Drosophila melanogaster: one gene and its partner. The protein of the gene in region 2 interacts with the protein of the main gene of each other region in a pairwise test. Each region holds a gene or a part of one and is shown on either strand. Other genes may lie near its edges.

Evidence for each region.
Region 1: the proteins of CG4860 (region 2) and Ndg interact in a two-hybrid assay, tested with the Drosophila melanogaster proteins (one large-scale study listed by BioGRID).

Annotation. Positions count from the first base shown.
Region 1 is NT_033778.4:10,311,846-10,316,892, reverse strand, and holds the start of Ndg (nidogen), read right to left. Parts: upstream 3,003-5,047; 5' UTR 2,620-3,002; coding exon 2,389-2,619; intron 493-2,388; coding exon 13-492; intron 1-12. Other genes in the region: Obp46a (Odorant-binding protein 46a), read left to right, coding at 4,870-4,983. UniProt on the Drosophila melanogaster protein: Cell adhesion glycoprotein which is widely distributed in basement membranes. Involved in cell-extracellular matrix (ECM) interactions probably by connecting the laminin and collagen IV networks.
Region 2 is NT_033777.3:12,219,372-12,223,151, reverse strand, and holds CG4860 (uncharacterized protein), read left to right. Parts: upstream 1-1,687; 5' UTR 1,688-1,701; coding exon 1,702-1,735; exon of another isoform or gene 1,736-1,796; coding exon 1,797-2,036; exon of another isoform or gene 2,037-2,113; intron 2,114-2,166; coding exon 2,167-3,140; 3' UTR 3,141-3,271; downstream 3,272-3,780. Other genes in the region: Rsbp15 (radial spoke binding protein 15), read right to left, coding at 1-418, 486-669; Cog1 (component of oligomeric golgi complex 1), read left to right, coding at 3,548-3,681, 3,738-3,780.

The DNA.
Region 1 (5,047 bases), on a different chromosome or scaffold from region 2:
TACTACACTTACATTCTCCGATCCGGAACCGTTCAAGGTGTAGAAGCGTCCATCTTCAGCCACGAAACCCGCCTGGGCACGAATGTCGGGGAGACCAAGTCCAGCTGTTTCGCCCTGCAACCAGTTAAGACCGCCATCCGGATAGATGAATTGCACAAACGTGCTCTGCTCGTTGGCAATCAGTGCCACCTGGAAGGTGTTCAGACGGTCCGTCTTGGAGTCAAAGTAGCCCACATTGCGCCACGTGGCCACGATCACCTGACGAGCCTCGAATTCAGACTGGCTGCTAAAGGCGTAACGCACCAAACTGGAGGCCCTGTCGAGAATACTTTGTTCCTTGGACTCGAACAGGGAGATCGAGGTGCCCTCATCACTGAACGAGGTGTCCACGTTCGAGTAGAAGGCCGCTATCGAAGCATATTCCAGCGGAAAGGGCTGGTTCAGGTACTCGGGAAACTCGGAGTTGAAGGTGAGGATGCCATTGGTGTTGATCTAGAGAATACATGAAAGAACTATAAGTAACACAAATAAGGAATATTCGGGAGTTACATTTAAAAGATCAATTGTCTTCGTCCAAAATGGTATTTATAAATGTTTCGAAGGCGATACTCAATTGGTGTACTCAAGGTGTTATTGAAAATGTTTTGCTTATTTCATTTGAAAGATATCAGGATCATTTTGTTAAGTGTATGGGAATAAGGAAGTTCCACTTGGGATCGTTTGAAGTGGAAATACTTGGCCTCCATATGGCGTGGCAATCAGTGCGCCCCGTGAAGTGCTAACGGGCCACTTAACTCCTAATGGCCATTCGCCTGGCGGAAACAAAACAACAACAAGCCATTAAGGAGGCGGCAAATGATCTGACGAAAGGATGTGGCCCGAGATGCATATTAAGTGATCTGCTGCAGTGCCTCCTAATTGAGTCCTCGGCCGACATCCGCCTAACGATCCGCCTAAAATTAGCTGCAACTCCATCGATGCAACAGGCAATCTGAATAAACAACCCGGAATGGGAGCACAGGTGTTTCCGAAATGCCTTTCTTGTGGTTGCCGACAGGCCGTTGCATAAATCATGTCACTCTGGTGGCTCCACGGATTCCGTTCATCGCGACGGGGAAACACGGATGTCTGGAAATTCCGGCAGCTTGCCTGGTGATTTGTATGGATGCCCAACTCCACATGGATATCCAACATGCCACAATGGGTGCTAAATTGAGGTTGGGTAAGCAAACATCAAATACTTCACTCCTGCTTAGCCTCTATTTCACACCTCAATTGTGCAAAGTATTCAAAATGTTTAAATTGTTGTTAAAATTGTTTCTATTTTGCTTAAAGTGGGTGTTGCATTTGCAAACAAAACGACAAGTCCAGATTAGGAAACAAATGATATCATGAAACATAAACACGACGAAACATAAAATAGATTATTATTCCCCTCAAATGTCATTTGTAATGAAATGCAAATTCATATCCTCGAATGATCTTTTCAATATTTTTTTATATCAACATTATTTTGAATTCTTTTCGCTTAAAGGAATCTAGGCTGGCATTGTTCTCACGATTTTGCCGACTGACTGACGGACTATTGACGAGTTTATTTATACCCTTTCGTAATGACTTCGACACCAATCCGACCCAAGCGCTTTGGAGCTGGCTGGCTACAAGCTACTGGCTCCTCCGATCATTTCAAGCATTCCGCCAAGGAATTTTCAACGAAATTTATGGATTTCTATGGCCATAAAGCTCGTTTTGGCCGTTCTGATTCTGTGCCGCGTGCTATTTCTCTACGTCAGACACATAAATTTAGTTAATTAACTAACAAAATGCAGAGCAGATAAAAAAGCGCGTTCAAAAATAGGCGACACTCGCAGTAGGCTCTCAATTCGGAGAACTCATAACTTTGGCTGCCAAGTGCCGAAACCACTCAGACACTCGGATGCCCGGAGCTCTGGCATCTGGCACTTGGCCAAGGCGGCAAAGCGACATCAATGGGTTTGGTTTTCGGTTTTTGGTCTTGGACCACCCTCAAGTGCCTGCGGATTGTAGCTGCGGATGTGTGGCACTTGAGGATTATTGGGACACGGTGCGAGTGGGGTGCGTGTGTGGAAATCGATGTGCGACCTGTCATGTTTTGCCGAAAATTAATGTCGCCTATAAATACGCGGGCACCACAACAAAGCAGGCTCCCCCAGAAATAGATGCATGGTAGTCTAGAAACTATTGAACCGCGTTGTGTTTGCATATAGATTGCCCCTTATCAACGCGTGCTTATCACCTCGTCACCCTGCACGCTGCAAAAATTCATTCAGTGCACAATATTTGAGATACTTTGTAGTCTCACATAATTCTGCATCTACTGAGGGGGGTATGCGTGCTAGGGGTACTCACATAGAGCTGCTCGTACTGCTCCCCGTAGAAGTGAATGGGCTGCTCCAGTTGCAGCACGATCGTTTCGCTGTCGCCCTTGGGCAAGAGGTGTATGCTGCCCAGGGAGCCATCCTCGAACTCGTACAATTCCGAGGCGCGCAGGCTGTCCAGATAGTGCTCGAACTGTCCGCTGACCAGGATCACCGAGCTGAGCAGCAGGCAGGCGAGCAACTTACTGCCGAAGGTCGGCATTGTGGCGGGATATGGATGGGTCCTTCCTGACTTGTGTATCTCTCTACTTCTTTGACTTTGACACGCGGGGATTTCACAATTTCGCCACTGGCATTTTCACACTAGACACAAAACCGAATTCCTAAGGCACTCAAGTTTGATCCAAAAATATAGGCGATTTATAAATAAATTGTGGCACTATCTATTCGTCGAGTATATATAGAGGTTTATGGCGTGTGTATAGTTTGACAGAATTTTGGAACTGTCGCTCCAAGTGGCGGCCCAGCTCCTCTGCTTTTGCTTCTGCTTTCTGCTTTACTTTTGGTTTCTGCTTCCTAAGCACGCGAGCAAGGAAACCCGAACGAACTGCACGGTTTGCCAACAGATTCTCGACTGATTGGCCGTCGTCTCCGCGGTGGATTCTCCTCGACTCGGTGCTCATCCGTCCGTTACCATCGAGTATCTGTGTGAGCTGCTGGCCGGAGTGCCGTTTAGTTTGTGCACGTGTGTGTGGGTGAGTGGCGGAAAGCGAGAGTTTCTCTGGAGGCCCCAGATACCATACCGAATAGGATCCACACACTGGCTGCACTCCAAACCAGATGCTGTTCGATTATGACAATTCTTTATTGATGTTTACCATCAACAGTCGTCGTTGGCATGGGCTCTCGCTTTGAAGGAGTACGTAATTATGGCCAAATAAAATAATCAGTTAACAACGGAATATTGTCAGTATGGGATTGCTCATTTATTTGGTGATATTCAGAATCAGCATTTTATCATTTTAATAGACTCCATCATATGTAAGAGTAAAGGTTTAAAATATAACGCCCATAGCATACCAACTATTGAACGACTTCATAGATGTTAGTCTTACTTTTGTTAACTTAGTCTTACCAAAGACCCTAGAATTCTAGTGTCTTTGGTCTTACCACGTATTTCGTGTTCTAAAAAGGTAGTGTTTAGTGAGATTTACAGATTCTCCGGACGATATATTATAAAACATATAACCATATGGTCACCGTGGATATAGAAATTAGTTCTCCCAAGGGAGACTTCTGGGCCGGGCTTCCGTAACACATTGGTGCTACTAGATAGTTTCGGGAGTCCCAATTCCAGGGAACTGAACTTGAAGCGGGCACGTGCCGCTTGATTGCTCTTGCCCCCCAAAATTCCCGCAGCGCATGCCACCGTGAAGCGGCGCGTGGAAAGGGCGAAGCGTATGGATACCTTCTCAACAGTCACACCGAGTCCACACGCATATCCACACCCAATCCTCAGAGGGTGATGCGCACTCCAAGACATTTGAGCAGTGGCGCCAAAACAGCTGAGTTAGAGTTTTTTCTTTAAAATGGTTTTAAACTCAGTGAAACCTGGCATATGAATTAAAATCGTGCATAGTTATTTGTTAATTTAGTTTTGGCTCAAGCAATTCGTCTTAATTTTAAATAATGTAAAAATGAAAAGGTAAGGAATAAATTGGTGCTAGCAACCTTTCTAAATAATATTAAGACTCATTTCATTTTTACATTACATTCATTCGGAATCAATATTAAAATGTTAACATTTAAATAAAAAGCTAGTTCTTAAGATCTAACATCACTAATCCAGAGCACTCCCATTCCTTGGCGGGGTGTGTGTGCGAGTCGAAAATAAACAAATGGTAAACTTCTGAGGCAGCGACGCAACGTCTGCTCCCTGACTGATGAGGATCGGGTGCGGGCGAGGAGGAGGTGGAGGAGTAGGAGCAGGAGGAGCTGGAACCCAAGATACAACTGGAACCAATGACGGGGGATGGGGGTCCGTCAGTTGGACTATTTATGATGTATTTCTCGGTTAATTAGTTGCAGCTGAATGCAGCGGAATGGGTGTGGGAATGGAATTGGGATCGGGAATGCTTCCGCATGCATTTGCTAGACATCATACCAGTCATCTTCGCCCGACCAGAAGACCAATGGAAAGTGCGTGGCCCAGGGCCCGGGTAATTTTTTGCTATATTTGGATATTGCGCCGCTTGATCGGTGATGGATGCCTGCGCCTTTTCATCTGCAGTGCGTTCCAGGAACTGGAGCGTAACGATGACGACGTCGACGGTCACGATGACGCTGCACCCGGCCAGACTGTTGGGCCATTTTCGGGTGGAATAATTAAAAACGTAAATTAAGCCCCAAATTAAAAGCCATCAAATGTTACGCAAAATTACACCCCTAAAGCGGGCGCTCAGTTATAAAAGCCACTGACTTCTAAATGGATTTACCCCTGGCATTGCGGAAAATGTGCTCCCAACTGTTCGCATTTCTGCTCCTCCTTTTGACCGCTTTTGTGACGGGTAGAAGTACTCCACCGGCGTTGGATGAAGACTGTGAACTGAATTCTGTAGATACAATGGTGAGTTGTAGACATGGATGGATTTAGAGCAGTATAGAAACGAAAGATGCGAAAATCAGAATAA
Region 2 (3,780 bases):
CAAGCCGCCTGGATCGTGATGGCTGCCTGGTTGCGCATGGCCTCGTTGATACGCTTCAGTTCCCTGTCCCGGAAGTACTGGTAGAGTAGCTCCGTTCCATCGGCTCCACGTTCGGCGGACATATAGGCGTCCACGAAGCGCTTGTAGGCACTCTCGATGGCCGGCCGTGACATGACCAGCTCCTCGTCGGTAAACTTGCACTTCTGCAGCAGCTCCTCTAGGATGTCCACATCCTCGAACTTAATCGCCTGCTTGCCACGCCGCATCTCGCAGCGTCGTTTCTCGAGGAAGTTACGGAAACAGTCCTCTAGAACCTGGCCCATCAACTCGGACTTCTCCTTGGAGAGATCACAGACACAGAGGTCCGATATTATGCTGTCCACCTGGCGCAGAGAGCGATCCAAAATGGTCTTGGCCACTGTAAGAAAATACAGGCGTGCGTAAAGAAAAGTTTGATACTTTCTACATCCTGTGGGAGTACTTACCCATAGCCTTTTCCCTTGTCACGATCACCGAATGTAGATAGTCGATGATGAACTGGCAGAGGCACTCTTTCTTCGGCTGACACCTTAGCACCTCCCGTGTAACATCTGATAGAAGTTCCGGCAGACCCTCTGGAACATTAATCGCCTGCTGGCGCATCTTGCCACGCTGGATCAAGTAATTCATCTTCGTTTTTCAAAAGTATAAAGCAAAATTCTATAATTTTGAACAGTTTAGCTGAGAAGAAGATAATAATTCGGAAATGGTTCAGTTTTGAAATCCCTTTTAACCGGTCTACTACGTTAAGAGCAAATGAAAATAATAATTTACAGCGCTCTACAATGATTTTTACACGGACTGACTGCGAAATACCTTGCTGATGTAAGGTGCTCAGTTCTGTTTACTTAACCTAGATGGCGCTAGCAAAAAGCTGGTTTAAATGTTTAAATGGTGAAAAACAATAATGGGTTATATATTCTCAATTTGATCCATGAGCTTAAATGTTTCAAAAAACTGTCTCACACGTGTTCCTGAAAATTCCCAAAGTCCACTAACTTTGTAATATGTAAGTTGAAAAATTGTAATGTGTACTTGTGTTTCATGTGGGTAAAATGCACCTTGTACCTTTCAATGAAAGTGGGTGTGTATCGGAAATTAGCATTGCCTAATTTCGTATTCAGCCGGTATAGGAAATCAACAGGGTTCTTGGTGGATTCTTCTTTATCGAAATCCATTGAACCGCTTTCCCTTTCTGTTCTTTCAAATGATCTTTAACCCAGAAACTTGGTAATTTCACAAAGTTAGCGCCAAAACAAAATACTTTCGATCATTTTAGGTAGTACTATATAGTTGAAACACTTTATACGAACACAGTGGCGCAGTGGTGACTTCGGCGCTTATCAATACCATTTTTAAATGAAACTTTAAAATTTGTTAAAAACCGATTATAAATTACAAATTTGAAACAACTAAAATGATTTTAGTAATTCTTATACTCAATTAAAATCAATTTAAAAGAACCATTTTACAAAATCGATTAGTAGTTTTTAATAAACGGGACCCCCTTTCAATCTCCTCCCATGAACTTCGCCTCAAAAAGCTGCGTATAAAAGCTGTTTTCCTCGGTTGTATTTCGATCGGCTCGTCGACGAGTGCGAAAAAGCTTTCACTACCTCGATCGCAACCGGCACCACGGGCTTGGGATCAGTTGGCGACGGAATGCAGCAGCTGATCAGAGTGGCGCGGACGTTGGGTGAGGAACTGGGTGATTCCCGGCTGACTGGATGATCGATTTGCCGCCTCCGTCTTTGCAGGTCAACGCTCGAGCGGCGCATGGAGTGCGAGGATAATCGCTGGTGGAAACCGGGGAATCGCATGCCTGGCCGCCCTCTCCGAGACCCACCAGATTCTCCAGAAGACTTGCCGGGAGTTCGCCAATGCGGAACTGGCCCCCAAAGCGCGACACCACGACCGGGAGGAGCTTTATCCGGCGGAACAGGTCCGACGGTTGGGAGAACTCGGTCTCATGTCAGTGACGGTTCGAGAGGAGTATGGTGAGTTCCTATTTCAATTATAATATTTACAATATTTACATAACATAAAATATGTGATGTTTTCATTTTTGAAATGGTATATAAATAGATCATACTACTAGATTCCATTCATTAAATATTGATTTTTCAGGTGGTTCCGGATTGGATTACCAGGCCTACGCGATTGGCATGGAGGAGGTGGCTCGTGGTGACGCCGCCGTGTCCATTGTGATGGGCGTGAATAACCTGTACCTGGGTGCAGTGCAGCAGCATGGAACCGAGCAGCAGAAGCAGGATTTCCTGGTGCCGTACACCCAGGGTGAGCACATCGCCTTCTATGCACTATCGGAACCTGGAAACGGATCGGATGCAGGAGCTGCCAGCACCACGGCCAAGCTGCAAGGGGACAGCTACCAAATAAACGGCACTAAAGCGTGGATATCAAACTCCAAGGAGGCCAGCGGGGGTATCGTCTTTGCCACGGTGGACAAGAGCATGAAACACAAGGGAATCACTGCCTTTCTTACGCCCAAGGATGTTCCAGGACTCTCCATAGCCAAGAAGGAAAGCAAAATGGGCATGCGCGCGACTTCGACTTGCCAGCTGGTGCTGGAGGACGTTCACGTGCCGCGATCCCGGGTCCTTGGAGCTGCCGGTGATGGCTTCAAGATCGCCATGCAGTCCTTGGACTGTGGCAGGATCGGTATAGCCGCCCAGGCCACCGGTATCGCACAAGCTGCCCTGGAACTAGCCGTGGATTATTCGCAGAAGAGGGTGGCCTTCGGAAAGCATCTGGCACGGTTGCAGCTCATCCAGCAGAAGCTGGCCGACATGGCCACGCGGGTGGAGATCTCAAGGCTGCTAACGTGGCGTGCCGCTTGGCTGAAGGATAATGGGCTGCCAATCACAAAGGAGGCGGCCATGGCCAAGCTGCATGCCTCCGAGTCCGCCACCTTTTGTGCCCACCAGTGCATCCAGATCCTGGGTGGGATGGGGTACACCACCGATCTGCCTGCGGAGCTTTACTACCGCAACGCCCGCGTCACAGAGATTTACGAGGGAACCTCGGAGATCCAAAGAATTGTGATCGCCAACGCAGTGCTGCGGGAATTGGGAAAGGAGTGAAAGCCATTGTTGGTTTTTCTTTATTACTGCTGCCAAACCAATCAGAATTCTTGCTTTTACACTTGTTGTGTATGTAAATTAGTTTATCTATGCCAGACAAATGCATTTAATAAAGTATATTTAAACAAATGAAACCTGGATTTAGAAAAATATCTTTTTTCGATTAAATGAGGTAATTCCCCTAACTATAACTCTTTATGTTATATTGAAATGTAACGGCTTGCACATGACAGCATATCTAACATTTTTACCAACAGAGAAATGTAAACTAACATAAATTTAACAGTCATAGACAGTCATGAGAGAAAATATCGATGTTGCCAGTCATCGATACATAATTCGATTTTATTACAGCTGCTCCCTTGTTATTGTTTTCTTAATTTAAATAAAACTAATTTGACGGCTAAATGACGGCCAATTTGTTAAACCTGAACGTGGACACGCTGTTTGAGCAGCACAGCGTGTCCGAGATAGACGAGGTGCACAAAAAGATCCAGTCGGTGGTGGAGAACAAGCGCGAGGAGTTGCGCACTCATGTCGGGTGAGTGATGTGGCACCTTCAGAAGATTTGCTGCTTAAACATTCTAAATCTTTAAGGGAGCGGTACCGAGATCTTTTGCAGGCGGCTGACACCATTGCT